Linked DNA regions of Tribolium castaneum. The protein of the gene in region 2 purifies or fractionates together with the protein of the main gene of each other region. This does not show direct contact. Links are inferred from orthologs where the notes say so. Each region holds a gene or a part of one and is shown on either strand. Other genes may lie near its edges. The genes, in order: CstF64, Sym, orb and Cpsf160.

Evidence for each region.
Region 1: the proteins of Sym (region 2) and CstF64 purify together in Homo sapiens (affinity purification with mass spectrometry; 4 studies listed by BioGRID and IntAct, with this or other methods). This does not show direct contact. The link is inferred for Tribolium castaneum from reciprocal best matches to the Homo sapiens genes SYMPK and CSTF2.
Region 3: the proteins of Sym (region 2) and orb purify together in Homo sapiens (affinity purification with mass spectrometry; 3 studies listed by BioGRID and IntAct, counting the BioPlex papers as one, with this or other methods). This does not show direct contact. The link is inferred for Tribolium castaneum from reciprocal best matches to the Homo sapiens genes SYMPK and CPEB1.
Region 4: the proteins of Sym (region 2) and Cpsf160 fractionate together in Homo sapiens (co-fractionation; 5 studies listed by BioGRID and IntAct, with this or other methods). This does not show direct contact. The link is inferred for Tribolium castaneum from reciprocal best matches to the Homo sapiens genes SYMPK and CPSF1.

The regions. Positions count from the first base shown.
Region 1 is NC_087400.1:318,624-326,000, forward strand, and holds CstF64 (cleavage stimulation factor subunit 2 tau variant), read right to left. Parts: upstream 4,639-7,377; 5' UTR 4,436-4,638; coding exon 4,384-4,435; intron 4,334-4,383; coding exon 4,255-4,333; intron 4,210-4,254; coding exon 3,786-4,209; intron 3,737-3,785; coding exon 3,553-3,736; intron 3,497-3,552; coding exon 3,367-3,496; intron 3,319-3,366; coding exon 3,289-3,318; intron 3,234-3,288; coding exon 3,145-3,233; intron 3,096-3,144; coding exon 2,845-3,095; 3' UTR 2,749-2,844; downstream 1-2,748. Other genes in the region: WD and tetratricopeptide repeats protein 1, read left to right, coding at 207-409, 455-566, 613-806, 853-1,033, 1,084-1,377, 1,424-1,533, 1,589-1,947, 1,997-2,193 and 1 more; APC4 (anaphase-promoting complex subunit 4), read left to right, coding at 4,753-4,864, 4,910-5,038, 5,100-5,260, 5,307-6,026, 6,482-7,377. UniProt on the Homo sapiens protein: One of the multiple factors required for polyadenylation and 3'-end cleavage of mammalian pre-mRNAs. This subunit is directly involved in the binding to pre-mRNAs.
Region 2 is NC_087398.1:8,153,641-8,161,327, reverse strand, and holds the start of Sym (symplekin), read right to left. Parts: upstream 3,914-7,687; 5' UTR 3,766-3,913; coding exon 3,727-3,765; intron 3,677-3,726; coding exon 3,480-3,676; intron 3,436-3,479; coding exon 3,046-3,435; intron 2,999-3,045; coding exon 2,712-2,998; intron 2,664-2,711; coding exon 2,203-2,663; intron 1,849-2,202; coding exon 733-1,848; intron 682-732; coding exon 484-681; intron 434-483; coding exon 275-433; intron 221-274; coding exon 1-220. Other genes in the region: GRIP and coiled-coil domain-containing protein 2-like, read left to right, coding at 4,087-7,253, 7,303-7,483. UniProt on the Homo sapiens protein: Scaffold protein that functions as a component of a multimolecular complex involved in histone mRNA 3'-end processing. Specific component of the tight junction (TJ) plaque, but might not be an exclusively junctional component. May have a house-keeping rule.
Region 3 is NC_087400.1:9,094,308-9,102,138, forward strand, and holds the start of orb (cytoplasmic polyadenylation element-binding protein 1), read right to left. Parts: upstream 4,502-7,831; 5' UTR 4,363-4,501; coding exon 4,339-4,362; intron 1-4,338.
Region 4 is NC_087394.1:33,812,811-33,820,586, forward strand, and holds the start of Cpsf160 (cleavage and polyadenylation specificity factor subunit 1), read left to right. Parts: upstream 1-2,753; 5' UTR 2,754-2,939; coding exon 2,940-3,380; intron 3,381-3,783; coding exon 3,784-4,100; intron 4,101-4,146; coding exon 4,147-4,397; intron 4,398-4,447; coding exon 4,448-4,629; intron 4,630-4,738; coding exon 4,739-5,032; intron 5,033-5,085; coding exon 5,086-5,364; intron 5,365-6,200; coding exon 6,201-6,339; intron 6,340-6,385; coding exon 6,386-6,558; intron 6,559-6,604; coding exon 6,605-7,304; intron 7,305-7,351; coding exon 7,352-7,515; intron 7,516-7,776. Other genes in the region: uncharacterized protein LOC103312284, read left to right, coding at 750-1,039, 1,086-1,217, 1,268-1,418. UniProt on the Homo sapiens protein: Component of the cleavage and polyadenylation specificity factor (CPSF) complex that plays a key role in pre-mRNA 3'-end formation, recognizing the AAUAAA signal sequence and interacting with poly(A) polymerase and other factors to bring about cleavage and poly(A) addition.

The DNA.
Region 1 (7,377 bases), on a different chromosome or scaffold from region 2:
CCATGACCTCCATAAACAAAAACAAATGAGTGTATCTTTTGACATCTTTCAAAAAAGCAATTAAGGCCTCAATCGTCACGTAAAGCCGTAATTTTATGATGAAATTTTCGAAAAATTTGTATTTATGATGCCCGATTTGCTAAAGCAAAGGTGAGTCCTGTTGACCTTGCAGCAAACATTGATCCTGATAGCGACTCTTCAATCAGATGGAAAACAAAATAAAAGGATGGAAAAGCAACCGTAACGTGTTAAAGTTGATGCAATGCCGGGAACTGAACAGCACCGCAGCAAAAGTCCTCAAACAGCGCACCCAATTCAGCGCCAATTTCATCCAGAGGTTAGGACTCGAGGCGGAGCTTGAGGGGCACCAGGGCTGCGTCAACTGCCTGGAATGGAGCCCCAACGGACTGTAAGTGCCTTTAGCCCCTTGCAGCAACTGACCGTTCACTCGCAGGCACCTGGCGTCCGGCTCCGACGACACCAACGTCATCCTCTGGGACCCCTTCAGACACAAGCAAATAAACGTGATCCCGACCCCACACATTGGCAATATCTTTTCCGTTAAAGTAAACAACCCGATCATTTTGGCACCGAATCTGAGCGTTTTTGCAGTTTTTAGCCGACGAAAATGTCATCGCGACGGCGGCCGGGGATTGCCGAGTGGTGGTCCAGAGCGTGTCGGGGGCCCTCGACAAGAGCGCCCCCTTGCTGGACTGCGCGTGCCACATCGGCCGGGTCAAACGCCTGGCCACGGCCCCCGACCAGCCTACTCTGTTCTGGTCAGCGGGCGAAGATGGCCTAGTTGTGTAAGGCAACTGTTTTGCCCAACCAAACACCTTAACTCACTTGCAGGCAATACGACTTGCGGGAACCCCACGAGTGTCCCACGCAAAGCAAGGTCTTAGTCGACCTAAGCTTCAAATCGGAAATCAAATGCATTGCTGTGAATCCCACAAAATCGCACTATATCGCAATAGGCGCCAACGACTGCTTCGTGCGCTTGTATGACAGGAGGATGATCAAAGTATCAATGGTAAAATAGGTAAAATGTTGGGGAAAAACTTGCATTTTTTGGGTTTTCAGGCGAATTTGTCGTTTAATCCGTCGAAGAGGACGTCCCCGCAGCCCCAAAACAGCGACTGTGTGCAATACTACGCCCCCGGGCACCTGGCACGCGAAAATGCCGGCATTATGAGCATCAAACTATCAGTCACTTATATCGCGTTCAATTCCGCCGGTTCAGAAATGTTGGTAAATATCGGGGGTGAACAGATTTATTTATTTGATGTAAATAATAGCCGACACATTAACGAACTCAAAATCCCCCAAAACTTACCTAAACGGCCCCATCAACCCTACCGGAATTGTTGCCAACCGGTAATTATCCCCCCAGTCACTACTAGGAAAATGCAATTTTTTTTAGAACGTACTGTTGGCTGAACTTAACGGGGTCAGCGCCGACTTGTTTGAGAAAAACACGGACTGTGCCTGCTTTTACATGAGGCGGGCGCTACAGGCGTACCAACGCAAGTGGTATTGAGACAAATAGCCAAAAAAAAAGGCTTGTTAATTTTTTTTTTCTTGTTAGGATGGGCGATTTGTATGCGGCAGCACGTGATTATTTACACGTGATTCAGCATTGGCCGGACCATAAACAGGCTTACATTGGATTAATCAAATGCCTAATTGCCATGAAGTGGGAAGACGAAGCCAACGCTTGGTTGAAACACTTTACAAAACTTTACCCCGAATGTGAAACCTCCTCGCAGGTGAAATTCCTCGTTGAGGAGTTGCAAGCGCTCAAAAACAGCGTCAAGTTTGAGGAGACGGGAGTGAAGAAGGTGGAAGATGATGAGAAAAAGTTACGTTTGGATTCGTTCGATTTTGAGAAGATTTACATAGGGCATTGTAATACCACGACTGATATCAAGGAGGCGAATTTTTTAGGTTGTTTGTGGTGGTTGTAGAGTGTTGGTTTTTTCACGGCGGCTTTCAGGTGATTGTGATAATTATATTTGTGCAGGATCGGACGAAGGGATCATTTTTATCTGGGATAAGAAGAGTATGAATGTGGTTAGGGCTCTCTTTGGAGATAACTCGATAGTTAATTGCATTCAACCACACCCTAGTGCCTGTGTTATAGCGTCCAGCGGGATTGATACGGCCGTTAAAATATGGTCGCCTCGGCCTGAGGTAAGCACAATTGCTGGTCTCACTTTGAAATTAAGTTGGCCACTCTACATTACGGCTTTTTTTTAATTCGATAAAGGTTCCAAAAAAAAGGCTAGTATGATTTTTCGAAAACGGATAACTTAGTCACTTGATCGGAAATTTTTCTCCGAAATATAGTAACTTTTTTCTATTAATTTTATTAATGTTGGAGTTTCCGTTGTCGTTTATTTAGGACGGCAAAGTGAACAACCGAATCGTCAAATGCATCTCCACTGTAGTCGAAACAAATCAGCATCGCATGTCAATGGACCCATTCGAATCAATGTTGGCGAGCATGGGTTACCAGATCGAAGGAAGCGCTTTAGACGGATCGTCCATTCAAGAAGTACCAACGTGCCGAACTAGCTAATTTTTTAACAAAACCATTACAACCAGATTTGTAACTGAAAGTTGCAAACGAATAAATCCACCTCTTGTTTACAATTTAATCGTAAACAACCGAAGGAATCGCTCATTTATTTTGTACTTTCTAGAGGGTGCGTTTTTGTTGTTGATTTTTAAATGATATATACACAATACTGTAAATAGTGTTTATGTTAATAATTTTAAAGATTTTTTAATTATCATGTAAACTGTAAAAATTAAACTGATTTGGGGAAATGACTTAATTAATCAACGGTGTGCACTTTTGGCGATTTGTTCCTTCAAAACTAGAATACTATTACGCTGTTCAGGTGGCAGCATTGCAATCTGCTCATCTGACAATTGCAGGACTTGCATAATCAGGGCCGCCTTTTCCTGGTCTGAGGCCCCAGCTGTACCTATACTTGAAGCAACATTGGCAGCTTGGCGAACTTGGGGGGTACTGGGGGGCCCCTGCGGGGCTCTGACCGGCTGCGGAGGCATCGCGTTTTGCTGAGGGGCTAAAATCAGACTTTCAACAACCAATTCAATTACGTACTTCACACATACGCATATTTTTCTGTCTTGGGTCAGCTCGCTGTTGTTGTCTCGGATCAGATGGGAAGTTGGCCGGACCTCCACGTGGGTCCCTATTAAAGCTAAGAAAAAGTATCAGTAAATTGTATTTCTAATCAATTGTAAATGGTTATTTACCTTTCCAATTTCTGATCCTGCTTAGTGAAACTGTTTAAATTTGAGTAAAAGGGCTCAAGGTTGAATTATTTTACTTACTTTTCGACAAGTGGCGGCGGAAGGGGGTTGGGGAGTTGTCCGGGCAAAGTGCGCATGTCCTGGTCGCCCAGGCGGCTGAGGCGAGGATCAGCCCCTCGGGGGTCCAGTGATCTTAGATCAACGTCTTGACCTGCAATAACGCAAACATTATTATTATTTATAATCAATTGTGATAAAAAAAATCACCTGTGAAGACCGGATTGGAATTATTATGAATCGCGGGGGCTGGCACCGGCTGAAAGTCCTGTCTTGGGGGCTGCACAGGCGTGGGATTCGAGACATAATTACTGTTAATCGGAATGGGGCCTGGATTAGTCTTTTCCTTGGGCGTCAAAGACGAAGGAACGGGATTTTGCGGATGCAACATTGTCTAAAACCCCCCAATAAAATATAAATACGCCCCCAAACCCCCAACTCACAGCCGCCGTATGCGGGTCAATAATCCTCATAACCACCTGCGCCTGCAGCAGAGCGTACGCCAACTGGGGGTTCTGCAGCAGCATCTGCCTGGCCTCAGTGGGGTTGTTCTGAATGCAGAGCTTCATCTGCTTCATCAACTCGAACATCTGCTCGGGGGGCAACGAGGCCACGGCTTTGCTGATGGCCTCGGGGGCCTTCTCGGCCTGAATCGGCTCGCCGTAGGGGTTCTCGACCGGGGGCTGGTTCAGCAAGTTTTGCATCTCCATGCGCGATTTCTCGGTACAGGCGTTGTCGACCCGGAGGTTGCGCCCCCCGATCTCGTACCCGTTGAGGTTGCGCATGGCGCTGAGCGCCGTCTCCTGGTCGCGGTACTCGCAGAAGCCGTAGCCTTTGGGCTTGCCTGTCTCGCGGTCGAAAACCAACCTAAAATTCAGGCGTTAGGGGGCTTCAGGGGGCAGGGCAACGTACTTGAATGACAGGACCTGGCCTACTTCGCCGAAAATGTCTTTGAGCTTCTCTTCGGTGGCTTCGTAGGGGATGTTGCCCACTGGAAGCAATGGGGTTATAATTATCACTTAAAATTTAAATAATTTGTACCAAAGACCGAACGCATTGACTTGTCCATGATATTTGCTTCTAAATTATCCATGGTGATTGTTTAATTCCAACTTGGAACGAAGTAATCAAGACACCTGGGACACCAATTTCAACAAACGGTCAGCGTTACCAACCCTCTACCTTTTAAAAAAGTACAAAATTATGCATTTTAAAGCCAACAATAACAAAAATGTTGGTTTATCTATTGTGGTTACAACCCTAAAGTGAATCGTAACGCCTGACTAGGCCTGTTTGTGCACATTTGGCTAAATAAAGCAAATCGGGTCCAGACGCACAGTTGGTACCCATGACAGAATTAAACGTAACCTTACAATTTGAAAATTGTTTTTTGTTACTAATTGTTGGAAAATGAGCACAGTTCAGGCGATTAAACAGCTCGAAGAGCGCAATGTGGCCAGTGAGATTGTTCAAATGGTGTGGAGCGACCGTATGGACCTTGTCGCTCTTGCCAATATCAAAGGTAACCCCCATTTGCAGTAACCGGCATTTTTGGGTGTCTTTGTAGGAGAGGTGGCTCTTCATCGACTCACTTGGACCAAAGCGTGGAGTCTCAGTGCCCCCAAGGATGGGTTAAAGGTCACAAGTATTGCCTGGAGGCCTGACGGCAAAATCATAGCAATTGCGTACAGTTCTGGTAAAATATTGTAAAAAAAGTATTGGAAATAATTTAAATCCATTGTTTTGTGCAATTTCAGGCCAAATACTGCTTGTGAAGGTCGAGAATAAGTCGGTGTTGCACACTATTGACATCAAGGGCGAAGTTTCATGTCTCAATTGGTTGCAAGACCGGACTGTTAAAGGGAAACTGCCTTCAGTTGACGAAGACAGTAAACAGAATCAGTACATGAAACACATTGTAAAAAAACCCGAATGTTAGTGCTCGTTTAATTTCCCAGTTGTAGGACTTATCGGGTAATTTTTTGCCCGAACCGGTGCTACAACAGTTCGATTCCCCCAACAACGACGATGGTCAGAAAACCAACATTTTGCAAGAGCAAACCGACTTTAATTTGCTCCTGATTGGGACAAGTGAGGGCACCGTGCACGTGCGAGTTTTCGGTTGTTTCCCGTGCGCTTCCCTTGACTTGAAGCAAACTCTCAACTGTCTTTGCTCCATCCAGAACATGCATTTGAACGAGGACCTGAACCGCATGTTTTTCACAGTGCGAGACAACGAAAACAACGTTAAATTGATTTGTTTCGATTCGGAAATTTTCAAAACGCACACAAACGAACTGTTCGCTTTGGCCCTCAAACACATAAAATTGACCTCACTGGTGACCTATCTCTCCAACACTATTACCACCATCACCGAGTCCTGGGAGAGCATTTTGCTGGAGATGGACAACAAGTTGTCGAAATATGCGAGCAAGGTGCCAGAAGGGGGCGTCACGGCTGATTTTTTGGATTTGCTGACGTTTGGAATTTGCTCGGATGAGATGAAGACCTTTCTCATACACGATTTAACGAAGAAAGGGTTGGAGAAGTTCGGGCAGACGATTGAGATGAGTTATTCCAACATTCAGAAGTTGATGCTGAAGTATGTGATGAAGTTTGGGCAGAATGTTACCTATCACTTGGCCGAAATGAGGGGGATGGCAAGACTGGAACACCGCTATAAGGTTGGTACAAGTGTGTGGTGGCTGCCAACTCAACAAAAAAATTAAAATTTAATTTTGTGTGAACTTGGCAAGAAAAACCATCAAAAATGCACAAAAATGGAAAAATCACATTTAGTTCGATAATTTCAAAGTCTGAGAAATAGTTAAAAAACAGGCGTATTTTAGACGAAATTTTACGCAACAAGCTACATTGAGTGAAACAAACAAATATCAATCAGGTTTGCTTTGAAACGAATATAGTGTCTGATTTTTTAAACGAACAAAATACTATCTGGCAAAATAAATAAATATTTAGTTTAAAATCGAGCAAATACTACGTGAAAAAAGTCCAAAATATTCGGGGAAACCCCTGACGGCTTTAAAACGCCTTTTTCGGCTTTTCGCTCCCACGTTTAGGACGCGTTTCAATTGAAAAGAAGTTATTAGTGTAAAAAATGGTGATTGGGTGATTGTAGGTTTTGGGTTTGGACGCGGCCGCCATTACCGGCGCCATTTCCTCGAACGGCGCCTTCTTGATCAAAGGCAGCGAAATGCAGCAAATCATCAATCACTCCATCATCAATTACAAGGCCTTCTTCCGCTGGCTCTACACGGCAATAATGCACGTTCTGGATGAGCCAATACCGAACGAAATCCCCAAAATGACTCAGCAAGACCTGGCTTACATCACCGAATTTTTGCAAAACTTTGACCACATCAGTCGGAATAACAAACAAAAGGGGTTCATTATGGAGCGGTTGGGGCAATATTTAAGCGATGGCAATTTGACGATCCAACCAGACATGTCCGGGAACGAATGGACTGATTTTTTGGCCCAGAACCAATGCATCGAAAAAAATAGTTCCATTTTGAGGCACTTCAAAGAGATGTCGCTGATACAACAGTACAAGCATTTGAAGCAAAGCGTCGATGCGATTTTCGCGACACCTAGAGAGCAAATTAGTAGGCAGTTCAGTCATTTGAATGACTTCAATTGTTTCCAATTTTGCGGCGATTCGTTACGGACGTCCCAAGTCAACTTAAACAAAGAATCGATTCTTTTTTGTTACTTGCAGCCGCCTGAGACCGTTCTAGGCCTGCAGGTGTATCTAGACGATGGCAATTGTTTCATAAAGTGTGCGCGTCTGTACTTCCCCCGTGACAATTCCGAGGATAATTATCACGTGATCGATATTAAACTATATTCGAGTGCAGTATTGTCGGTTTTATTGCAAGAAAACACCGTTTCTAAAGCTACAGTTTTAAGTCAGATACCGATAGGTGGCGTTTTGGACAAGTTTGTGGATGGGGGGGAGACAGATCGTGTTTTTAGTGGTGCGGTTAACGTGGTTAGTTTGAACGGTTCGTGTTT
Region 2 (7,687 bases):
TTCCTAAAATGATTTCCTGGACTGTGGGCGGGATGTGCGACCTTTGCCCTTCAGTAAAATTCAGCAAATGCTCTTTGAGCGGTTCCCTCAACTCGGGACAAATTGACAACGCATCAGATAGTTGGGGCGGTGGTAATTGCATCAAAACAGTAAAACTTTGCGGTTTTGTTCTTTGACAACATTTGATAAATCCCTCCCATACCACTTTCTGTTTCCAAACCTTCAAAAAGCAACAAAAAATATTGATTATTTTTTTTTTGTAATACGACAGAACCTGTTTTAAGATCAGACGTTGCAAAATATTCATCACGAACCCTGACAGTCGGGGATAACTGCCCAAAGCTTGGATGACAGTCCTCATGAGTAGAGTTGGTAGCGGGGTTTGGTCCATTAACTGTTGCAAAACAACAGCTAATACTTCTTGAGTAAATACCTGGAATTTGGTAATTTGAGAAATATATTCGGTGCGAAAATAATTCGTACTTGTTTTTCCTGAAGACACATAGATGTGGCCTTAATTATAGTTTTCAAGTCGGCTTTCGTGGAATCAATTAAATGTAGAGCGACCAAAAGTTCAGTTGGGGTAATTGGACTGTCACCATGTAAGCCTAAAAGTCGGTTAAAGACTTCCCTTACAACAACCGGGTTCAATTTAATTAGCTTTGGCAAAGCTGCAATTACCTACAATTGTACAAATTAGTCAAAAGTACAAACGACGCTCGACCTCATTACTTCTTTCTTTGATAACCCGTTCAAAACTGGGATAAGAAACCTAACATCTGACACTCTCGTGTGATACAATTCCCTGACTCTTTGCACCAACTGTGCACTCGGGGGGCCCTTGTCCGTCAAAACGTGTATAACACGCGTGACCAAAGTTTCCGAGCCTTTGGGACACTCCTCCACCAGTTTTAGAAGCTCAGGTGAGTCCATCCCCATTGATCTGATCGGGGTTTCAAGCAGACGTAGAATAATCCGTTTAATGTTGGCCCCCGTCTGTACGTAAACCTTAGCCAAGTCATGAATAAGACTCTCATTGGCTGGCAATAGCGAAATATACGGAATAAGACAAGCTTTTATAAAATCATCGCCCCAAGTCTCGCTCTTCAACCTCCCTTGACTAAACCCACACAAACTCTCCGGCGGCCTTTGCAACTTCAAAAACTCCAAATTCATTCGTGCAAACTCCTCAATCACCAACCTCAACTCCACCTTCTTGTGCAACTCCAAAACGTGTCCAATGGCACACTCTCTTACCACGCTCAATTCGTACGTCGTGTACGAGAGGAGGGCGTTGAGGAACATCAACTGTTTGGGGGGCTTCCGGACCGTCAAATCGTGCAACAACCCCAAAGCTGCTGTGCATTTCTTCTCGTCTCGGCACAACTGGTGGAGCTTATCCAAAGCCTCGTCTGTTATTAAAGGCGCTTCCAAAAACAATCGACAGAGCACTGCTGAGTCGTGCATACAAGCGTTTATAAATGTGCAAAGCAAGATGTTGTAGCTTTTGTCCAGTTTGGTGTCTTTGCGTAAAGGGGGCACTCTTGAGAAGCCCTGCAGTATTCCGTACTCTTCAAAAAGCCACGCCAGGGCCAGGTCTATGTGAGACCGTAAGTCTGATAGGAGAAACGCCAACACTGTTTGTCTGACAGTGGGGCTAAAGCAGGCTGCGATTGTGGTGATTAGTTTTTGGTACAAGCATTTTGCGGCTGTTTTGTCCGCGGTTAAAAGTCGGTTTATGGACCCTATTAACAATTTCTCCTTTGTTTCTTTCTCGATAGGTTTGGTGATTTCGGACAGTTTCAGTGTCTTGATTCGGGGAACTTTTGCTCGTTCCTTCTTCAGGAGCTACCAAATGTGTAAAACATGTTGTAAAACAAATAGAGGCTTCATTATATTTTTTTTTAAGAATAATTACTAAAATTTCTTTGACCTCACAATTACGATAAGTTATCAAAACATAACTTAAAAAAAATACAGGATGCGTGATACATAACTTCTCAAATCATCCGAACCAACATAAGCTAACAGATAAAGATAAATACATAAATAAATAAATAAATAAATAGACAAATATTTGGTACAATGAATTACATCTTATCTTTTCTTAAATACAGCTGAAAATGTGAAATCTGAATTGCAAATTACTGTTTCTGTTTTACTTATTATTATATTATTTGTGTGCAAAAATTGTTTTCTTACCTTTTCCTTCTCTTCCTTGTCCTCTTCCTCCTTCTCCTGCTGTCTAAATTCCTCGACCTTTTTTGCAAAACTTTTCGAAGACGGCGAAACCCCGGCCTCAGTCAAATACGTGGCAATAAGTTTTGTCAAAACATCAAATTGGCCAACTTTTCCACTATCGACATATTTGCCATACTCTTTCGCAAAATCGGGAGACATTGTAGCCGGCAGTTTACTCATAGAAGCGAAAACCATTTGAACCGCTCTTTCCAACGTGAAATTTTCAGACACAAAGTTCTCATTCAACTCTTGCAGTGTTTGCGAATCACTGTCATTGGTGTCGTTATCGAATTCAATTTGAGGATCAAGTCTAGGTCTTTTATTGTAGATCTGAAGGGACTCAACTGAGAGAGTCCTCTTGCAATATTTCCGCCGCTCGTCGGGTTTCGGTACCATTTTAAGAATGTCTTGCTGGGAATAACCTGAGAAAAAAATCCTAAAAAATTTTTTTGCGTAAAAATAAAACGCACCTAAATCGGTGAGCATTGGGGTTAATTTCTCCACAAATTCGTAAGCCGCTGGGTGTTTGATAAGTCCAGCGAGTTCGGATTTTAATTTTTTACGCACGGAATTCACTTGAGTTGTTGTTAGAGTTGGAGGTAGGTTATTGTAAAGTGATTCAATAGCTGAGACAACTCGAGACATAAATTCGGCCCGATTTTTTGCAATGTTTGTAACAACGCCCAGGCAGGTTAACAAGTTGGCACTGCTAATATGGGGAGAGCCAAAAAATTTTAAAAGTAACTCAAACAAGGTACTAAAAAATTCAATTAGAAATTTGCGAATTTAAAAAAAAATAAATACTTTGCTTCCTCTTCTAGTTTTCGCCTCCGCGCCAATTTTAACGTCAGAGGAACATCATCGAGTGAGAAGTCGTTCGGTTTCTTGTTCTCTTCCTGGTCGGGATAAGTTTGCAACAACACAACACATTCTAAAAATTTCACTGAACTAGTCCTAATGCCGTCATTGTCACTATCAATCATATTTGCAATTTCTAATTTTATGGCAGACAATTGCTTCCAGGCGTTTTCCATTTCTTCTGTAATTACAGAAGCCTTGCATAACCAGGCCAACGTTTTGCGATAAATACTGATTAAAGCTTGAATTACGCGCTTTTGCACCGCTATTGACTCATCACATAGTAGCATATGAAGGTTTAGCATTACTTTAGGTAAAAGAGACTCGCGCATTTTGCTAAAACAAAAGTTAAGTAACCAATTAAAATGCATAAAACCTACCATAACTCTTCAATAAAACCCACTAGCGCTTTTTTCACGTCCCCATTCCTATCAGTCGTGAAATTAAGCATGTTTTGTAAAAACTTTGGCAGCAAATGGGGCGACTTCCGAATCAAAACTTCTTGCAATTTGTGGAAGTATTCAAGCTTTTCTGCAGCAGAGCGGGACACTGCAGCGCTATTTATCCATTGGGTCACCTAAAACGCGTCTCTTTACTACCGAAATCAACTAAATCTCGGTTTTTTACTAAATCCTCGTCGGAAACTTCGTTCATGGTAAAATCCATGTCGAGAGGATTTTACAACCAAAAATGACGCAATTGTTGCCACTAAAGCAACGAAATTTCGAAAACAAAGCTAGTTTTATCTAAAGCGTTAAATTAATTGAAAATGAGAGCCAATCATCCATTTTTGGAAAGCCAAAGATTGAGGTTATGGCAGAAGTGACGTGAACATGTTACCAAAAAACAGTAACTTTTCCGCTTTTTGTTGGCGACTTTTGCTGTCAAAATACTATTGATGTGTCAAAATAATAAAAAATTATTAAAATACAATGTAATTGCTAATTACTTGGAAATTACAATACAATAGATTAAGTAACTATCGAGATGGAATCGAATACGCCATCCGAAAGTGGCAAGAAAATCGTTTTGGAGAATTTATCGAAAGAGGAATTGGTTAAACGGTGCGAACGGCTTTTGATTCTCGCCCAGAAGGCCAAACAGGCGAAGGACGCGCTCCAGGAGGAAAATAACGAGCTGAAAAATAGGCTAAAATCGGAATCTGGAGATGCCACAACTGCAATTATCGAAAATTTGACCCAACAGAAGTTGCAGTTTGTTACCACGATTGAAGACTTGAAGAGCCAAAATGCCGCTTTGGTGAATAAAGTGCAAAACTGCACGCAAGACGCACGTCTGTGTGAGGAGAAGGATAGGCTTGAAAGCGAGAATATTTCGTATAAAAGGCAAATCAAGCGTTTGACGGATGAAAATGAGCAGCTGATTACGCATCTGGAGTCTCTGGAAAAGCAACTCGAAGAGTGCAAAAACCTGGGACTTGAACAGCAAAATCAGCTGCTGATGTTGGAAGAGGCGAATCAAAAGTTACGGAGTGATGACACAAGTGATAAGTCTGCAGAGTTGCAGAAGATGCTTAGTATTAGTTTAGAGGAAGTTAAGAAGTTGCAAGCTGAGAATAACACAATGAGGGAGAAAATTGACGTGCTCAAGACGAATCTGGGGGAGAAGGATAAGAACATTTTAACGATAGGCCAAGAGTTGCAGGAAAAATTGAAATTGGTCGAGGATTTAGAAAAAATCAAAAATGAAACAAGAGAAAATGTGGAGTTGGTTGAGAAACTTAAAGGGAGACTGAAATTTTATCACTCAAAAGTTGTAAAACTGGCCGGTAATGTGAAGGTTTTGAAGGAAAATAAAAACGAGGTTTTGCGTTTGCTCAAAACGTACTCACATCAAGTGGAAGAATGGAAAGAACAGTTGGGTGTAGCTTCAAAAAAGTTGTGCCAAGAAATTAGTGATATCAAAGTACAGAACTCTGAATATCACAAGGAAATTGAAGGTTTGAAAGAAAGTAATGCAAAATATCTGAAACAACTTGAGGCACATAAAACCGACGACGAGAAAAGTAAAGAACTTGGCGAGTTTGAGAGAATTTCCAAAGAACATAAGAAATTGATTGAAGAAAATCAAAGATTGTTACAACTTCAACTTGACTACCAGCAAACTGTTGAAACGCTCACTGTTGAAAAGGAGAGTCTGCTTGAGAATTTGTCTCAATTGGAGGAAAGACATCAGGAAGAAATCAAAGTTTTTGACGACCAAAGCAAGAAAGACACAATTGAGATCAAGAACAGAATCGAAGAAAATGAAAAAATTTGCATTGAATACCGAAAAGTCATCTCCAAGCTGGAGGAGGATCTAGATTTAAACTTGAGGGAGCTAAATGATGCGAAGCAGAAGAATTACAGTCTTCAAGAAGCACTTGAACATTCAAAAGAAACGGAGAGGCAAATTGCTGATAAAACCAGTGAAGAAATACTTAAACTAGTTCAAGAAAATGCCCAGTTGGTGGAAATGAACCGAAAATTGCAAACCACCCGTGATAACTGCAAACAAGTGGAATGCCAAACTGAGGATTCAACAAACAGCGAACTGGAAGAAGTCGTGTCAGGTTTGAAGAGAGAAAATTCCGAACTTTTGGCCGAAATGAACGAAATGAATCAAGCACTGAAAGAAAGAGGAGAGACTATTTCCAAATTGCAATCTCACTGCGAAGAAGTTATGAAAAAATTGCAATTGTATGAGACACAAGCCAACAAAAACGTTGACAACATATCCCAAAAGGAGGAAATAATTAAAAAACTTGAAGACGAAATCGAGCGACTTAAAGCCACGAGTGACTTAAACTCAAACACCTCCGAAATCAGTGATTTGAAAAACGAAATTGAGAATTTGAAAGAACGGTTAAACTCGAATCTTGATTCAAGTTACGCCGATAGCGAGTGCATGTCCACGTCGACAATTTCAAGAACGGAGGAATCAAACAGAATGAAAGATCTGGAAGGGTCTTGGGAGGAAAGATACGGAAAACTACGAAACTTGGCCGTGAAACTGAAAGGGAAAGTTCGTGACTTGTCCAACGAATTGGTGAAGGAGCAAAACGAGAAGAACGATATTCAGCAAAAATGTGCCAGTAACGTGAAAACCATCGCAACTTTGCAAGCCCAGTGCGATAAATTACAAGACGAATTGGACGAAAACAAAAAACAAATAAAGGAATATTCCGCCCGATTGGATTCGACCCTTGCTGAAGTTTCCAAAGATAAGCAAAAACTGAGCGAAAACGAGGAGATAATCACCATACTCAAGAAAGAATTGGAAGAGTTAAACCAAGAGAAAGTCACGACTGAAGCCTGGAAGAAGCAAATAAGCGGCAAAGTTTCGACGTTTAGAAAGGAACTCGAAGCGAATAAGGTTTTGAAGAAGGAATACGAGGCCAAAATCGCCAAACTCACCTCGGACTTGGAGGCCAAAGAACAGGCGCTCAAGGCCGAGAGCGAGTACCACCAACAAACGAAAAATTCCCTTGAACATTCCAATATCGAACGCAAGAAAAACTCCGTCCTTAACCTGGAAATGCAAGACTACGAGAGGAGTGTCAAGGAGTTGTCCCAGAAATTGGAAAAGAAGCAAGAAGAAATCAACAAGTTGAAAAGCCAGCTCGAGTCGCAGAAAAGCACAACAAATGCGGTCCGCGAACAGAACAAGCTTTTAGAAGAACGAGCGGAAGAGATGAAGAGCGAAGTCGGAGCAACACAGGCTGAAATTATCGCTTGTAAGAAGCAAATTTCTGACTTGGAATCGGTCATGTCGAGTAAGGAGAACAAAATTCACGATTTGACCCAAATTTTGGAAACCGTGCGTTCGGAAAATGAGGAACTGTCGACTGAGTTATCCAAAGTCATTGCCGAGCATCAGAAAGTTAACACAAGCCTGAAAAGCGAGAAAGAAAATTTGAAAGGGCAAATTCTGGGGCTGCAGCAGACTTTGAGAGACGTCCAAGATGCGCTAAAACTGAAGGAAGACGAACTGAAAATCGTGCAAAATGATTACGAAAATTACAAGGTTCGGGCGCAGAGTGTCTTGAGACAGAACCAGAGTCGCGATGTTGGTCTCGAGGAAAAATTGTCGGAAGAAGTGTCAGCTCTGGGGGTTAAGTGTGAGGCTCTCACTGCGGAGCTAAACAAGTGCAAGTAAGTTAGAGTGGAAATTTAGTTTTTGTGACTGATGTCACGTTTGTAGAACTGTTGTTGACGATTTGAAGAAGGAAAATGAAGCATTGGTTCACGAAAAATCGGAAGTCTTGACCAAATATGAAGATGTGTTGAGCGAAGTTGAGGACCTTAAATCGCTCTACGACCAACTAACTAACAAGCATCAGCAGACCATGATAGAACACAGCGAGACTGTCAGGAGTTTAAAGGTAAAAATGGATTTGCATGACAGATAATTGGGTTATTTTGAGACAAATATATAAACGCATGCTATGAAAATTATATAATAACTTGATAACTAAAAGAGATTTAAAAAATCTTGAAAAATTATTACATTTTTAAAGTAGTTGATGTATTAATTATGCAACCAATATTACAACAATATCACCTAGCCAAGTTCTTCGGGATGATTT
Region 3 (7,831 bases), on a different chromosome or scaffold from region 2:
TAAGTTTGATTGTTCTGAATATCTACAGGTGTTCACGATTTGCTTCCAAATTTTTTTAACTTTACAGCTTTTTATTTTGTTTATTTCACACGGTAACCCCTGTTTACTTTTACATCGATCATTAAATTTGTTATTAAAATAGTTGACAAAACGAGTTTTCAGAAAATAACTCCAAATGTATTAGGATTTACGTTAGGGTTGTAAATAAGAAAAAATTTTCGTTTTCTAATTCTGCATTGAATGAAAAAAAAAACTCTAAAATTTAAAAAGTTTGGAAGTAAACTGTGAACACCTGTAGTAATTCAGATCCATTAAATTTAATTAATAAGGGCCGGTTTATAAAAAACTTCATTAAATTTACAATGAACAATGCGAATGGACCAATGAAATTGGTTTAATTTGGTCACGTGATTTGTTAATCAAGCATTTAATTGCGTAATAAATTAATGACGCCTCTATTCTATAAACCGGTACTAAGTCTGTTAGACCTTGTCCAACAGTTATGTACCTAGTTTAGTTATAATATTATCAAAAAACACACTTATATTTTTTTAATTTTTGAAACTGAAAATGTAAAACCGATTTATTATTATTTAATTTTTTTTTAACAGTAATCCTAGAATAAATTATAAAAAAACTTTGGGGACATGTTAAGAAGCTAAAAAGGCATCCTAATGAGCACTAAAAAAAAGAGCACGCAATTAAAAAAAATTTTTTATCGAGGTCGTACTTTTTTTAGGACATTCTGTATAAACAATTACCACGTCGAATAAAATCAAGATAACGTACCATAAAACAATGAATTCAAAAATAAAAGGGAAAAAAATGCCGCGATTTTCTCTTCAAGAACAGTAACTTAACAATAAATAAATTATCGCATCTAGAAAATTTCACTACACAAATAAACCCGTTAGAAGAAAACTGTAATTTTCCCAATTTTCTTTTGTTATTAACATTGATTGAAGAATCTATTGCAAAAAGATGAAGTTTCCAACCTCACCTAGAAGGACGATATGAGGAAGTATAGATAAAATTTTCTCAATTTAATTCTGTATTTTTTGAAGTTGTAAATATCATTACTTTATTTTTAGGTAGGGGTAACCAAACGTCCTATTTTTTCCGGACGTGTCCTCTTTTTCAAGGTCTTTGTCCGTGTTCGGTATTTATTTTTGAATTAATAAAATGCCCTCTCTTTCACAAATTTTACAATTTCATCGCACATCGGTATCATTTTTTAATAAATAAAAGGTTTTTTCGAAATTGAAATTAATAAAAGCTATTTTTGGTTTAGGCATTTCATAATGTACATGTTTCGAGATAAAATTAAGAAGATTGAAAGAGAAAGTGGCTTAACAGATAGATTGTCAGATTTTTTTTTACCAATAGAAGTGTAAAAAATATTCCAAAATTGTGAAAATGTAACCGAAGTTAATATAATAATGCAAAAATAATTTTATAGTAGGACAGTTCAAGAGTTTTATGTTTATTTGTTGTCTAATAAAACATTATTGAAAGTAATTTCTCACCAGAATAATCTTTTAAAATTTAATTTGTATGATGTGCTACTTTACTGTGTAGTTACATTTGGACAAGCATTTGTTCGAGATTTTTATTTTATCACCTAAAGTCTGGTTTAGATTTTACGATTTGTTACTTTAAAATAAAGAGTTATTGATTAACAAAAAATACGTTACATTTGTTATTTAGAAAAATTTAATTCCAGACCCTTTTTTTTCTTGCAGTTTCTGTGTCCTCTTTTTGTTATTTTCAAATACGGAGGTGACACAGGGGTGTGTAATCGGTCTATAAGTTTTGTGCTATTTAAAATATTGCTATGCCGTTTTTATTATGCGATAGATCGGTGTTGTATACAGGGGACCAAAGTTATATTTTTTAAATAGAACACCCTATATATTTTTGCATAATTTGATTCTACAGAAAAAATAATGTATCGTTGTAGAAATTATTGTCTTTTCGTTTCGGAATTATTCAACTTTTCGTTATAAAAAAGACCAATTTTTGAAAAATCATTACGTAGTTGCCTATGAAAATTTTCCGTTAAGTTTGCAAAAAAAAACTCAGAATACCTTGCAGTTTTAGCAAATAGTAAACTTTTACTTGATACACGCAGATAATGTACAGGGTGTGCCAAAACGCAAAAAAAGTTGAATAACTCATTTTCTTAAATGGAACACCATCTACAGCGTGCTCAAAAACTGGCGCACCAAATCAATGGTGTGTGGTAGAGAACTGGTTACATATAAAGGTAAAAATAGTAAAAAAATTATTTGTATTAAAGTTATTGATAAATAACGGATTTTAGATAAATGATATGTGGCAACGTTGTCTAACAGTCATGATCGCAGTAGAATTGGATCAATAATAAAAATAAATCATTTTTGAAACGGTTTCCGAGGAAACAATTCCCAGTGTTGGCACATCTACACATTGTGATTTTTTGAACAAATTTTAATTTTTTTAAATTAAAAAAACTGTTAAAGTCTGATGTGAAATTTAAAAATAGTTATTCATCGTTGTGTTAGGGAACGATTACTTAGTGTAAAACATAAAAACATAAAAAAAATAATGAAAACTAAAGAAATTAACACAATAGTTTGCAGCTCCAGATTTTTTAAAATATGACTTTAGGAATTTTTTCAACATTTTTTCCGTAATCTGCACTTGCTTCTCAATAACGTACCACTGAGTTGGTGCGCCAGTTTTTGAGCACCCTGTATATTACACGTATCGATAGCATTTTGCATATGCTTTCTAATGATACAGGGTTTGCATAGCAAATTTAAAGCATTTTTTTGACTTTTCAAAAAAAAATATTACAAGAAAATTTGTTATATTAAAATTCGATAAGTCAAATGGTAATCTTTTTATATGTACTAATGTGCCTAATTACATTAGCAATTTAATTATTAATTGATACATAAGTGAATTTTACTCATCAAGAATAACAAAATAAATAAAAAAAAATTCAGAACACTAAAAATATTTCTAATTTGCTATACAAACCGGATATTGTTAGAAAGTTTATAAAAAATGCTATCGATACGTGTAAAGAAATATATGGTGTTCCATTAAAAAAATGAGTTATTCAATTTTTTGCGTTTTGGCATACACTGTAAATTACCTGCGTCCTGCGTGAAGTAAAAGTCGACTATTGCTTAAACTACAGTATTTTCTGAGTTTTTCTGTTAGAAATTTATTGGAAAATATTCCTAGGCGACAGTGATTTTTCAAAAATTGGTCTTTTTTATAACGAAAAGTTGAATAATTCCGAAACGACAAGAAATAGACCCACAAAAGTTTACATGATTTTTTGCGTAGAATCTACGCAAAAATATTTAGGGTGTTCCATTTAAAAAAATGTAACTTTGGTTCACCAGCCTGTATACAACGCCATGGGTATAATAAAAATATTTTTAATTTATGTACTTTAAATCAATCTATGGGATAATAAAAACGACATGGTAATATTTTAAATAGCAAAAAAGTTATAGATTGATTACTCCCCCCTGGGTCACCCTGTATAGTCACCGTACTTTTCTATCTTCTAACCACCCTAACTCAATTAATTTTAGTAATACTAAAAAACGGCAATTTTATGCAAAATTTTATGCTTTACTGTTTTTATTTACAACTACACGTATCTTGAGTGAAAAAACACTCGGAAGACCCTTTTAAAGGGGTTGAAAAAAATTCTGTTTTCTGTGGTCACAAAATTTAAGACAAAAGACTGCACAAGCTGTAAAAAAAACGTTAAAAGTGACCGTACTTTAACCATACGTCCAATTAACACTAACAAGTTATTATTCAACAAAACTATTGCCCTGTTTTAATTAACTTTTAAAGCAAGAAGTGAGCGCTAAAAATACGTTTTTATACTCGGATGCGTTTCCTTCTTTTTATTTATATTTTATGTTTAATTAGAAATGTGATTTAATTAAATTACTCCAGCAATAACACTAATAATCGCAGATACTGACCCCGAAATTTTGTGCAAAACACCCTGTGTTAACAATTACATGCTTATAAAATTAGTGAGCAAACTTATGTGAAAGTAAGGAATTTGACAATTTCCAGCCCTATAATTTGTCATAAAAGTCCGGAAAATAGTTAGGTCTTGTTACACAACATTAATAATTAATTAAATAATTAGATGTAATTGCTAATGAGCATCTCGTATTATAAGTGGACGTTCATCCAGCGTAACGGTTGCTTTTGTGTCCCACTTGCACAAAAACTAAAGACTTTTTCTTTGTAGAGAGATAACACTTTTTTGTCGCTAAAATCCGGTTTGATTTTGATTAATTTGCATAATTTTACCTCCATCCTGTCGAGCACCGGCATTATCCCGGTATAGCAAACAACCACGTGTTGCAAATACACCGCAGATCGACCACCTTATCACCCACCAGAGCACCCTTAACACTTCACATCACTTCGAGACAACTGCTAATTTAGCGATGTAAGTCAACAGCAGAGTGAGTTTCCTGGAATTGAAGCGATTAAAGAGAGTTTCGTATGCTTCGATTGGTCCGTTGTAAAGAGAAAGGGTAATGTTTACATTGTGCACGTGCTCGCACAAAAAATTCAATCAGATTGACTTGACTCACTTCGCACCCCGTAACAAAACAATTCCTTGAATTTGAAATATTTGGAGTGCAGTTTTTATAACAAAGCTCAGTTTACACAACAAAACGCAATTAAATGAAAAGATCATTTTCTTAAAGGGGCCGCCCCCGACCGGCCACCTTTCGCAAAATCAAAATTAAAATAAAAGGAAAAAATAAAAATGATTATAGAGAAATGGTCCAGCTGTCCAGCGTCTTTTTTACAGTTGTAAACATATTTGACCATTGAAAGTTTTTTTTTCTAAGAAACATTCAACATTAATTATTTCTTGTGACACAATTTATTTCACGAATGCGTTCTTGTTCATGAGATTAAGGGCCTGAATGCAATCAGAGGGATTAATGAATATAGAAGACCTTCTTTTCATTGGGTGCACAAAATTTATAAAGTTTCAATAATCAGAATAATCTCCATTATGTGAACTAAAAAAAAACAGAGGTTTTCATAGAATGGAGATAGTTCACTTTTTTGTTAAACTGTTTATTACGTAATTAATACAACAAAGCAATAATAATATACTATGAACAATGGACTATTTGGTAACAGGAAAAAAAAAGTTCAATCTTTTCCTTTAAAGAATTTAGAGCAAAATCTCTGATTTTTCTCAGAATTAATTTTTTTCGAACGCTTTTAAACGGCTTCAGCTTCGTTCTCCTATAGTTAAATTTATGTCAAATTTATGTCAGAACTTTTCGTTTTGTAAATTTATTTATGACGAAAAATGGAGTAAAATGAATATTAATTATCACTAATCGCCATATTTGTTCTCAACACATTGAAGGAATAAATGTGTGCGAATACAAAAGTTTTAAATCGCTAACAAAATCAGAAAAATTAATTGAACACAGAAAAAAAGACCCATGTGTAGTTTTTTTCGTGGCTCATTCAACTGTAGTTACAAATTTGTATCTCCAATAGTTTTTTGGTCTACCATTCGATTTCTTAAGTTAAAGTAAGTTTTGGTAAAATGTCCAACCATAAACATAACAACTTGTTTAGACCTTTGACAAATTTAAGTAAAAACGTACTTTAAACATTCAGTTAATCGACAAAATTGTGAAGCCGAGAAAAAAAGCAATTTGGAAATAAGAACAAACTAGTAGCAGATTCTAAAAGTTATTTTAAAATTCACGTTTTTTATTTAGTATATCAGATCTCAATCAGTATCAGCATTTTCCACTATGTATTATTATTATTACTGTTGCTCTTAAAGTTCTCTTGATATTAACACTTCCTGCTTGTGGAGAGAGGACGTTTTTAGAAAAACTATCAAAAATTATCTAAGACGATGTACCAAAATCGATTTAATAATTTTCCTAACTTCCTGCTTTCCTGCAGTGGAAAAAGAAATACCCAATGGACTAGATAAACTATATTTTAGAAAAAGAATCTGCCTAGAGTAAAGTAAGGTGAATTTATTGAGTAAATTGTGTAAATATTAGATATGTAAATACCCAACAGCTGGTGTACATGCACAAAATTTAAAATTATTCTTGTTACGAATAGTTTTATTTTTATATAAATATACTATTTCAAGTATTTTAAAAGTAAACAGTTGCTTTCATTTATTTAACTTAGTAATTTTTAACTACTATTTTAATTAGGGGCGCAATATTTGGGACCTGTACACGGGCGGCCAATTGGCTAGGCTTGGCTCTTATATTTTACTCTGATGGAATTTCACTCTGAAAAAATAACGAAACTAAAGCACTTATGCCTCGTTAAACACCTCCTAATCAGAGTTTAAAACCGTAAATCAGGATTTAAAACGAATTCATTTTTTGAAAATCTGAACGATTCTCGCATCTTAAAAAAACATAAAACGACTTTTTATAATGTAGTTATGACTGCGAAATATTTTGAAACGTTTTTTCCAAATTTTTGGTGTTAATTATGTATTTCACGACATTTGAAAGTGCATTGATTTTAAAGATATGTAAGTAAAGAACTATTTTTGTTGTTTTTGTTCACAAAATGTGACGCTAACTGGGGGTGGACGATATTAAGATTTAAATAACGATAATCGATACTTTAAAATTATCGATAAACATCGATATATAAAAATATCGAAAATTGATACTTATCGATAAATCAAAAAAAAATATGGGTATTTATAGATAAAATGATAGTACCTATTAAATGTTACTGTAAATTTTAAAAAGTTGAAATGGTAAAATACTTTTTTTGTCAAATATATGTCTCAATTATACAGAGAGATCATAAAATTTTGTACTTACCTATAGATATGTACCTAAGGCTGTTGCAAAAAATGGTCGATTTTTTGTTTTAAATCGCCATCTTTACATAAAAAAGTTTGTTAGCGGCTTCATATGTTTTTGAACTGTCATCCTCAATTTTTTGAATTGGCAATCCTCAACTGTTTTTGATGTTCAGTATATTTTTCAGTTCTCTATTCAACACTTGTACTTAGAAAAAATAAAAACTTGTACGATATTTTTTTCTGAGAATATTAGACTGAAATCAGATGTCTATTTCAACACATTTTTTCTATTAAAAGAAAGAATGTTAATTTAAAAACAATCGGCGTAATTGGTCGTTCTTTACAAAAAAAGCAAAGAGTGCTTTGGAAAAAACGACAGCAATTTTATATTTAAACAAACTATAGATTTTGGAGGTTTAATTGCTTACTTATTTAAAAACAAAACATCATAAGCTAGAATTTTATTCTTCGCAAAACCAAAAACAAAACAGAGTTGTAGAAAATTCTGTTCGCATATTTAATAGAACTCTCAAAATTTAGTTTGTTTTTCAGCGTTTTTTCCAAAGCATTGTAGGCAAAAATGCATTTTTCTTAATTTTAAACAGTTTGTAAGTTTCGACCTTATCACGTGATACATAGTTGTAATCAGGAATAAAAAGACTTCAAAAATACAAGTATCAAAGTTGAGTGTTGTAACTCTGATATCAAGAACGCCTTGGAAAAGGCAATGACAGATTTAGATTTCTTGTAAAAAAGTGCCTGAAGAATGGCCTACTTAAAATCGTTTAGTTCTTTTAGTTTTCGCTTAAAAAAATAAAAACAAAAATTACTAATTTTTATTTTTCCCAATAATTCAGAAACTAAAAATGACATATCAAATTTTCAGATTACTGTTCAGCATACAAATGCCCAACTTTGCCCTAATTTAACCGACCTCGTATCATGTAAAACATCATTGTAATC
Region 4 (7,776 bases), on a different chromosome or scaffold from region 2:
AGCAGTTGTTAATCTTTATTGTAGTTTTGTAGATTTACCGCAGCATTTCATGATTTTTTCAGTGGAAAATTCTAACGTAAAATTCATAACACTTCACTAATTTATTGGTTTCTTGAGCCAAAGTTTGTGTTCGCTGTGATCCATTACTTATAATCTTTAATTAGACAACTGTTTGATAACACTTTGTAATCAAAATTTAAATATTTTTCACTTTTTATCCACTTTCAAGTTCCAACAATAAACACTTTATACCACGAAAAACTACAGAACCAAAGTCAAAGCTAGTATTTACCACCACGTACGTTTAAAGTGATTCTCTCTAATGTAAGTAATTAACACTAAACACGCAAAATTGTTGAACAATTCATTAAATGTCAGTTAAATGCGGCATTACGAAAATTTCTTTACTGTTTTCGACATAGTTCAAAAGTCATCACCAGAGGGCGTCTAGTTAATTTTATTTCCGAATTGTCATTTACACTGCATTTGCTTGTAATGTTACACAGAAGCGTCGTTAGTTTAATCGGTAATTTAATGCGCGATTAACTGATCACGTGACCAAATTGAACAAATTGATTGGTCCATTCGCGTTGTTATAACAACGAATAAATTTTAACAAAGCTTGCTATAAACCGGCACTTACTTACGTGAGATTAAAATTTAAACATTATATAAATTAAATAAAGTGATTGTGAATAAAATAGCTAGAATCCTAAGTGGATTGGCATTTAGTTAATAAGCTTCCTTAGATGGTTTTGGACCGTAAAGTGTTCCAAGGCGTTTGGCACCGAAAACAAATCGAAGAAATACGCAATGCCAACATTGACGGTTTGGAAACTTGTCCATTCTGCGATTTCTGTATGATCCCTGACGAAGGAGACAAGATTTTTAAGTGTGCCAACATTGAATGCATGGCTGAAACATGCCGCCTTTGTCGCCATAGGTCCCACGTGCCTAAAAGATGCAACGAAATCGAATACGACGAAGATGTTAAAATGCGAACTTTCATCGAAAATAAAATGACTGAGGCACTTCTCAGGTAATTGCCTTTTTTTTGCAAAGTTTCATGCAAATTATTATTGCAGGAAGTGTTGGAAATGCTCTAAACAATTTTACAAAGAATCAGGCTGTAATAAAATGACTTGCGTCTGTGGTGCCATGATGTGCTATGTTTGTGGGGAAGCTGTGACGGATTATAGGCACTTTGGAGCTGGACGGTATATTTTTTGTTTGGTTTTTGTGGTTGTTTTTGACATTACTTGTGCAGGTGCCCTTTGCATACTGAAAATTTGCAACAGTTTCACCTAACTAGGATACTAGAAGGTGCCCAATCGGCCAAAAATGAGTTGGGAATTACTGGCAATCCGAATCTGCTTAAATTTGATCCAACAAGGGGCATCGAGAATCAAGTGGCTTAGATGCATTGTTTTAAACTTTTGGTTTTTGTCTATCATGCTGTGGCCTTATTCTTCTAATAATAGCTGTGATCAGAATGTTTTCCTGCTCAAAATAATGTGTTTGTAGTTAGGTTTTTCTCAGGCAATAGTTGTTCTAACTGTTTATAGAATTACAAGTTTCATACGATTTATAAATTTTATAGAATATTGATCATTGTTTTCTTACGATTTGTATTAGCTGTTACATTATAAAGATTGTATGATTATTGCTCATGTATTTTTAATAAATTGTTTCTATGTTTATGGCTTCTTTGTGTTAATTAAATTATACTTGTTTTTAAAAATTATTGTGGAAAACTAAATAAATGCCTCGTATTGAAAATTTTATTAATTTAAATTAAAATGCGACAATTATTTAAAATTCAAAGTTTTAAAAATTTAAAATTCGTATCGAAATCACAGGAATGCAAGAAGAGCTTTAACTTTAAAGAATTAAAAAAAATGTGTTAAAATATTTGCAAAAGACGGTCACTACTTAGGGCCCCCGGTGGCCCAGTGGTATAAGCGCCACTTTCGGCGGGGGAGGTCGGGTGTTCGAACCCGGATCACGGCAACAATTTTTCTATGAAAAAAATTGTAGAAAAGGTAAGTGAAACAACACGCAAATAAAAATAAAAGATTGTGAAAACACATAGACGTAAACGTAAAGAGGAGACATTTAAAACCGGCAGAAATAAGAAAATAAGGCGAAAAAATAAGAAAATAATGCAGCATAAATACATAAAGGCTCCAAATTTAAACGTAAGACCCCCAACCTGATAAAGGTAGAAAAACCTTTTGTCAACTAGAGTTCCCTTATGGACGTGAACGTAAAAGTGCAACATAACTTCAAACGTAAACCTTAAATCTTTAGATGTAATGAAATAGAGAAATAGAGATAACGCAGCATCTGGTCAAAATTTGTAATATGTATTATTTGTATATAACATGATCGCAACAAAGTCATTACGTTATTTTATGTTTTTGCATTTTTGTAATCTTAATCCAAAATGTATTTAAAAATTTTGCAATTTATTATTTTAAAATAATTATTATTTAAAATATACACAAATACTTTCAAATCTGTTGCCAACAGACTTAGTATTTCTGGATCAGCCGGTATTATGGAAACCAAAATTGTTATAAAGTTCATAATTTCGAAAATTTTAAGTAATTGTTTAAAGACAATAAATATTAATGTAAACTTTACGTTAAAGGTAGTGTTTTTATTATATTTTTTGTGTTTTTTACAAAAAATATTACGTTTTTAATATAAATTAATTGTTAAGTTTACGTTTTCGCAACCACAGGTTTCTACAGTATCAGACGTTTTCCGCATACACACCAATTTTGTGTTTTTAGGTTATGGTTCAAATAAAGTTCACAAATCAAAATAAACTGAATGAACTCCAGCCCCCAAATATGCTAAACCGACAAAACTATTCATAATTCCGCAACTTAAACAATTTCCCGTGTGTTCTTGTTGCAAATTAAATTATTCCAATGTTTTCTATTTGTAAACAAACGCACCCTGCCACGGGGGTGGAACACGCAATTTCGTGCCATTTTTTCAGCAAGTCTGAGAAAAGTTTAGTTACGTCAGGGGCCAACGTAATCAAAGTGTTTCGCCTGATCCCAGACATTGACACAAAAACCAGAATTGATAAATTTAATGGTATGCAAAAACGTTGCATTTTCACCAGTTTACACTGCTTTTCCACATTTTTAGAAACAAACCCTCCGAAGTCTAAGCTAGAATGTGTGGCTCAATACACTTTGTTTGGAAATATCATGTCCATGCAAAGCGTAAATCTTGCAAACTCGCCCAGAGACGCTCTGTTATTAGCGTTCAAAGACGCAAAATTATCAGTGGTGGAATATGACCCCGAAACGCACGATTTGAAGACTCTGAGCTTGCACTACTTTGAGGAAGATGACATGAAGGTGCTTAAACTAAGCACTGTTAACTAATTCATTGCAATACTTACTTACATTTACAATGAGAAGCAGTACTTAATTCAGTTACTTGATATTGAAATTAAGGTTTAGATCAATTACTCGTCTCGGTTCAATTTCAATCAATTTCTCTTTTAAAGTAAATAAATCTAAAGTAGCATTTAAAAATAATATTACGTAAATTATTCTCACAAACAAAATTCTGACACTCATCAAACAAAAAAATATTTTAAGAAATCAAAAACTAATTCAGATCCTCTATCAGCTAAATCAGAAGTCTGCTCTCAATTAAAATGAGTTTTTTTGGAATTCTTTATTATTAAATTTTTGTTTGGCTATCAGATCTTAATTTATTGTTAATTTGTTTTTTTTTTTATTATGTATTTTTTAGGACGGTTGGACCCACCATTACCATGTGCCTATGGTGCGAGCTGATCCTGAAAACCGCTGCGCTGTTATGACCGTTTTCGGCCGAAAATTGGTAGTTCTTCCTTTCAGGCGTGAAAACGCAATTGATGACACCGATGCTGATATTAAGCCAATGATTGGTGGAGCTTACGGTTCAAAAGCGCCAATCTTGGCCTCATATATGATTGTTTTAAAGGACTTTATCGATAAAGTTGACAACATAATAGACATCCAGTTCTTGCACGGTTATTACGAACCAACGCTCCTGATTTTATTCGAGCCTTTGAAAACTTTTGCTGGGTATTTGTTACATTAACCCTCACATAAGTATTAATTGTTGCTTTAGGCGCGTCGCTGTGCGAACTGATACGTGTGCCATGGCTGCAATTTCCCTCAACTTGCAGCAAAAAGTGCACCCGATTATTTGGAGTGTTGCAAATTTGCCGTTTGATTGTGTAAAAGCCGTCCCTATTAAAAAACCGCTCGGTGGCACGTTGATTTTTGCAGTAAATGCACTAATTTATCTAAATCAAAGTATTCCACCGTATGGGGTTTCCTTGAACAGTATTGCCGAAAATTCAACAAATTTTCCATTAAGTATGAAATTTTTATTTCATAAACATCGTTTTATCTGTTATTTCTTCTAGAACCGCAGGACGATTTATGTATAAGTCTAGATTGTGCACAAGCCACGTTTTTGGAAGACGATACAATTGTCTTGTCTCTGAAAGGGGGCGAACTTTACGTCCTAACTTTGCTGGCAGACAATATGCGATATGTTAGGAGTTTTCATTTTGAGAAAGCTGCAGCCAGTGTTCTCACAACATGTGTGAGTATAATATTTTGAAATAACACGTAATTATAAGACTTAGTTAAAAAAATTCAGTTTAAATTATGATTTTTTTACTCGAAACAAAAATACAAAAATGCGATTTTAGATCTCTGTATGTGAGAACAACTTTTTGTTCCTCGGCTCGCGCCTCGGAAACTCCCTTCTTTTGCGCTTCACTGAAAAATGCAACGAAGTCATAACTCTGGATGAAACGATCGAACCGAGCGCCAAACGCCTGAAAGCTAGCAATAGTACAAGTGAAAATGAGGACGATAAAGTCCTGGACACGTTAAACGATTGTATGGCTAGTGATGTGTTAGATATTCGCGATCCGGAAGAACTGGAAGTGTACGGAAATCAAAAGCAAGCCAGTCTTCAAATATCAAGCTACGTCTTTGAAGTAATAATAACACACAAAAAATAATTCTATAACATTATTAATTGTTTTATTAGGTCTGTGATAGTTTACTCAACATTGGCCCTTGTGGCAATATCTCGCTAGGAGAACCGGCTTTTCTGAGCGAGGAATTTTCCGAAAACCTTGATTTAGATTTGGAACTTGTTACAACAGCAGGGTATGGGAAAAACGGGGCGCTTTGTGTGTTACAGAAGTCTGTAAGGCCGCAAATTGTGACCACTTTTACGCTACCTGGGTGCTCCAATATGTGGACTGTGCATGCCGGGGAGGACAAACATGCGTTTCTCATTTTGAGTCAAGAGGACGGCACTATGGTAAGGCAATAACCAGGAAATTCAGTCGTATTTTTATAATTATTTAAGCATTTTTTGCCTTTTCTTGTTTTCAGTTTTGTTTATTAATTATTATACAAGTGGTAAGGCAATAACCAGAAAATTCATTTCTTTCTTTTTTTCTTTTCTTGTTTTCAGTTTTTGTTTGTTATACAGGTTGGTCTTTTTAAAGTATATTTTTACCATATGTCAAAAATTCAGTAATTACACAAAATACTTTGTATTTTTCTCTATGCCTGTGAATTTTTTCCTTATAATTTATTGTTCCTAATTTTTAACTACTGTGTCATCTGTTATTTTGTGACAAAAATCCATAAAAATATGACCCAAAAAATTATTAGTTAAGTGAACATTAAAAATTCAAATAAACGTAAGAAGATTAATAAAGAGGATTTTTTTTAAGAAAACGCAAAAGCTTATGTTTGGAAAATTTAATTACAGAGCCCTTTGCTATAAACGTTTGTTCTTTAATTCCTATTTTTAATTTCAGACGCTTCATTTATTTTTTTTTATTTTTTAAAATATCGAATTTATTTGACCCCAAATTTCTATGCATGAATTTTTAGCAGTTAAATGAGACTAGTTTTTTATAATCTAACTGAAAAAAATATATTAAATTTTCTCTTTTGAAATGAATTAAATTTATCAGTCATCTTACATTCGATAAAATATTTTTCACGCAATAAAAGCCCTTGTCTTACAAGTTTCCACGAAAGACAGTTTTAGGAAATAGCCTATATTTCTTTTTATTTTATTTTTATTATAAGTATTGTTTTTTTTTCTTAATAATTGTGTTATAATTATAAATAAATTCGTAGATTTTGCAAACGGGTGACGAAATCAACGAAATCGATAATACGGGCTTTGCCACTCACATCCCGACCGTTTACGCTGGTAATTTAGGAAACTTGAAGTACATTGTGCAGGTTACAAGCAGCGCTGTGCGACTTTTACAAGGCAAGACACCCCCACTTTATAAATCATTGATAAAAAAAATTCTTAGGGATAAACCAATTGCAACACATTCCCCTGGAATTGGGGTCCCCCATAGTCCACGTGACAAGTGTCGACCCCTACATTTCCCTACTAACAACAGACGGTCAAGTGATCACACTCATGCTCCGGGAAGCCCGAGGGGTCGCTAAACTAGTCATAAGCAAATCAACTCTGTCAAACGTAACTATTTTATATGATTTTTCAAAAAGTGAAGCAAAATTTGCAGTCGCCCCCCGTCACCACCATATGCATGTACCGCGACGTTTCGGGCCTTTTCACGTCGAAAATCCCCGAGGATTTCACGCACATCCCCGAGCATTTCATAAACGAATCCGAGACGAAAATGGAAGTGGAAAACGAGGACGATCTGCTCTATGGAGACGACAGCGATTTTAAAATGCCAACTCTGAACCCACCACAGCCCAAACCGAAAGTTTACTACAACTGGTGGAAAAAATATTTGTTGGACGTCCGGCCTTCGTATTGGCTTTTCGTCGTACGCGAAAATTCCAATTTGGAGATTTACTCAATCCCCGATTTTAAATTGTGTTATTACATCACGAATTTGTGCTTCGGTCATAAAGTCCTGGTCGATAATTTGGAATCGGTGACGATTTCAGCCTCGACACCCATTTCCGCGGCACATGAAGCCAATATCCAGAGGCAGTTCGATGTTAAGGAAATTCTCGTCGTTGCGTTGGGAAACCACGGCTCAAGACCACTTTTAATGGTCAGATTGGAGCGCGATTTGTACATTTATGAAGTGTTTAGGTTTCCGAGAGGGAATTTGAAAATGCGCTTCAGGAAAATCAAACATTCGCTGATTTATTCGCCAAATGTGTCTGGGAGAATTGACACGGAAGATTCGGATTTTTTCGCAATACAGGAGCGCATTATTAAAATGCGATACTTTACCAACATTGCAGGTGATTTATTTTTGATTTAGGGAAAATTGGGATTAATTTTTTGGCAGGTTATAATGGCGTTTTTGTATGTGGGGCCAACCCACATTGGATTTTTATGTCAGCCAGGGGCGAGCTAAGGACACATCCCATGACAATTGACGGCGAAGTGCTCAGTTTTGCGGCTTTTAATAATGTGAACTGTCCACAAGGTTTTCTTTATTTCAACAGAAAGGTAAATTAAAGTTAAATCCGATCATTGCTTAGGTCACACCACAAAAAAAACTAGACGTAATTTTAAGTCTACTTTCAGAATCTCTAATTTCCAATAACTTCTACTTTTACTTAACTAGGGAATAACTAGTCCTACCTGCATTTTTGTAAAATTAACGCGTTTGAGCTGATTTTTAATCTTCAAAAATTACACTGAACCTCAAATTCTTAATAAATTGAGAAAATATTACCTACATTTTCATAATTTTCAAATAAAAACAGT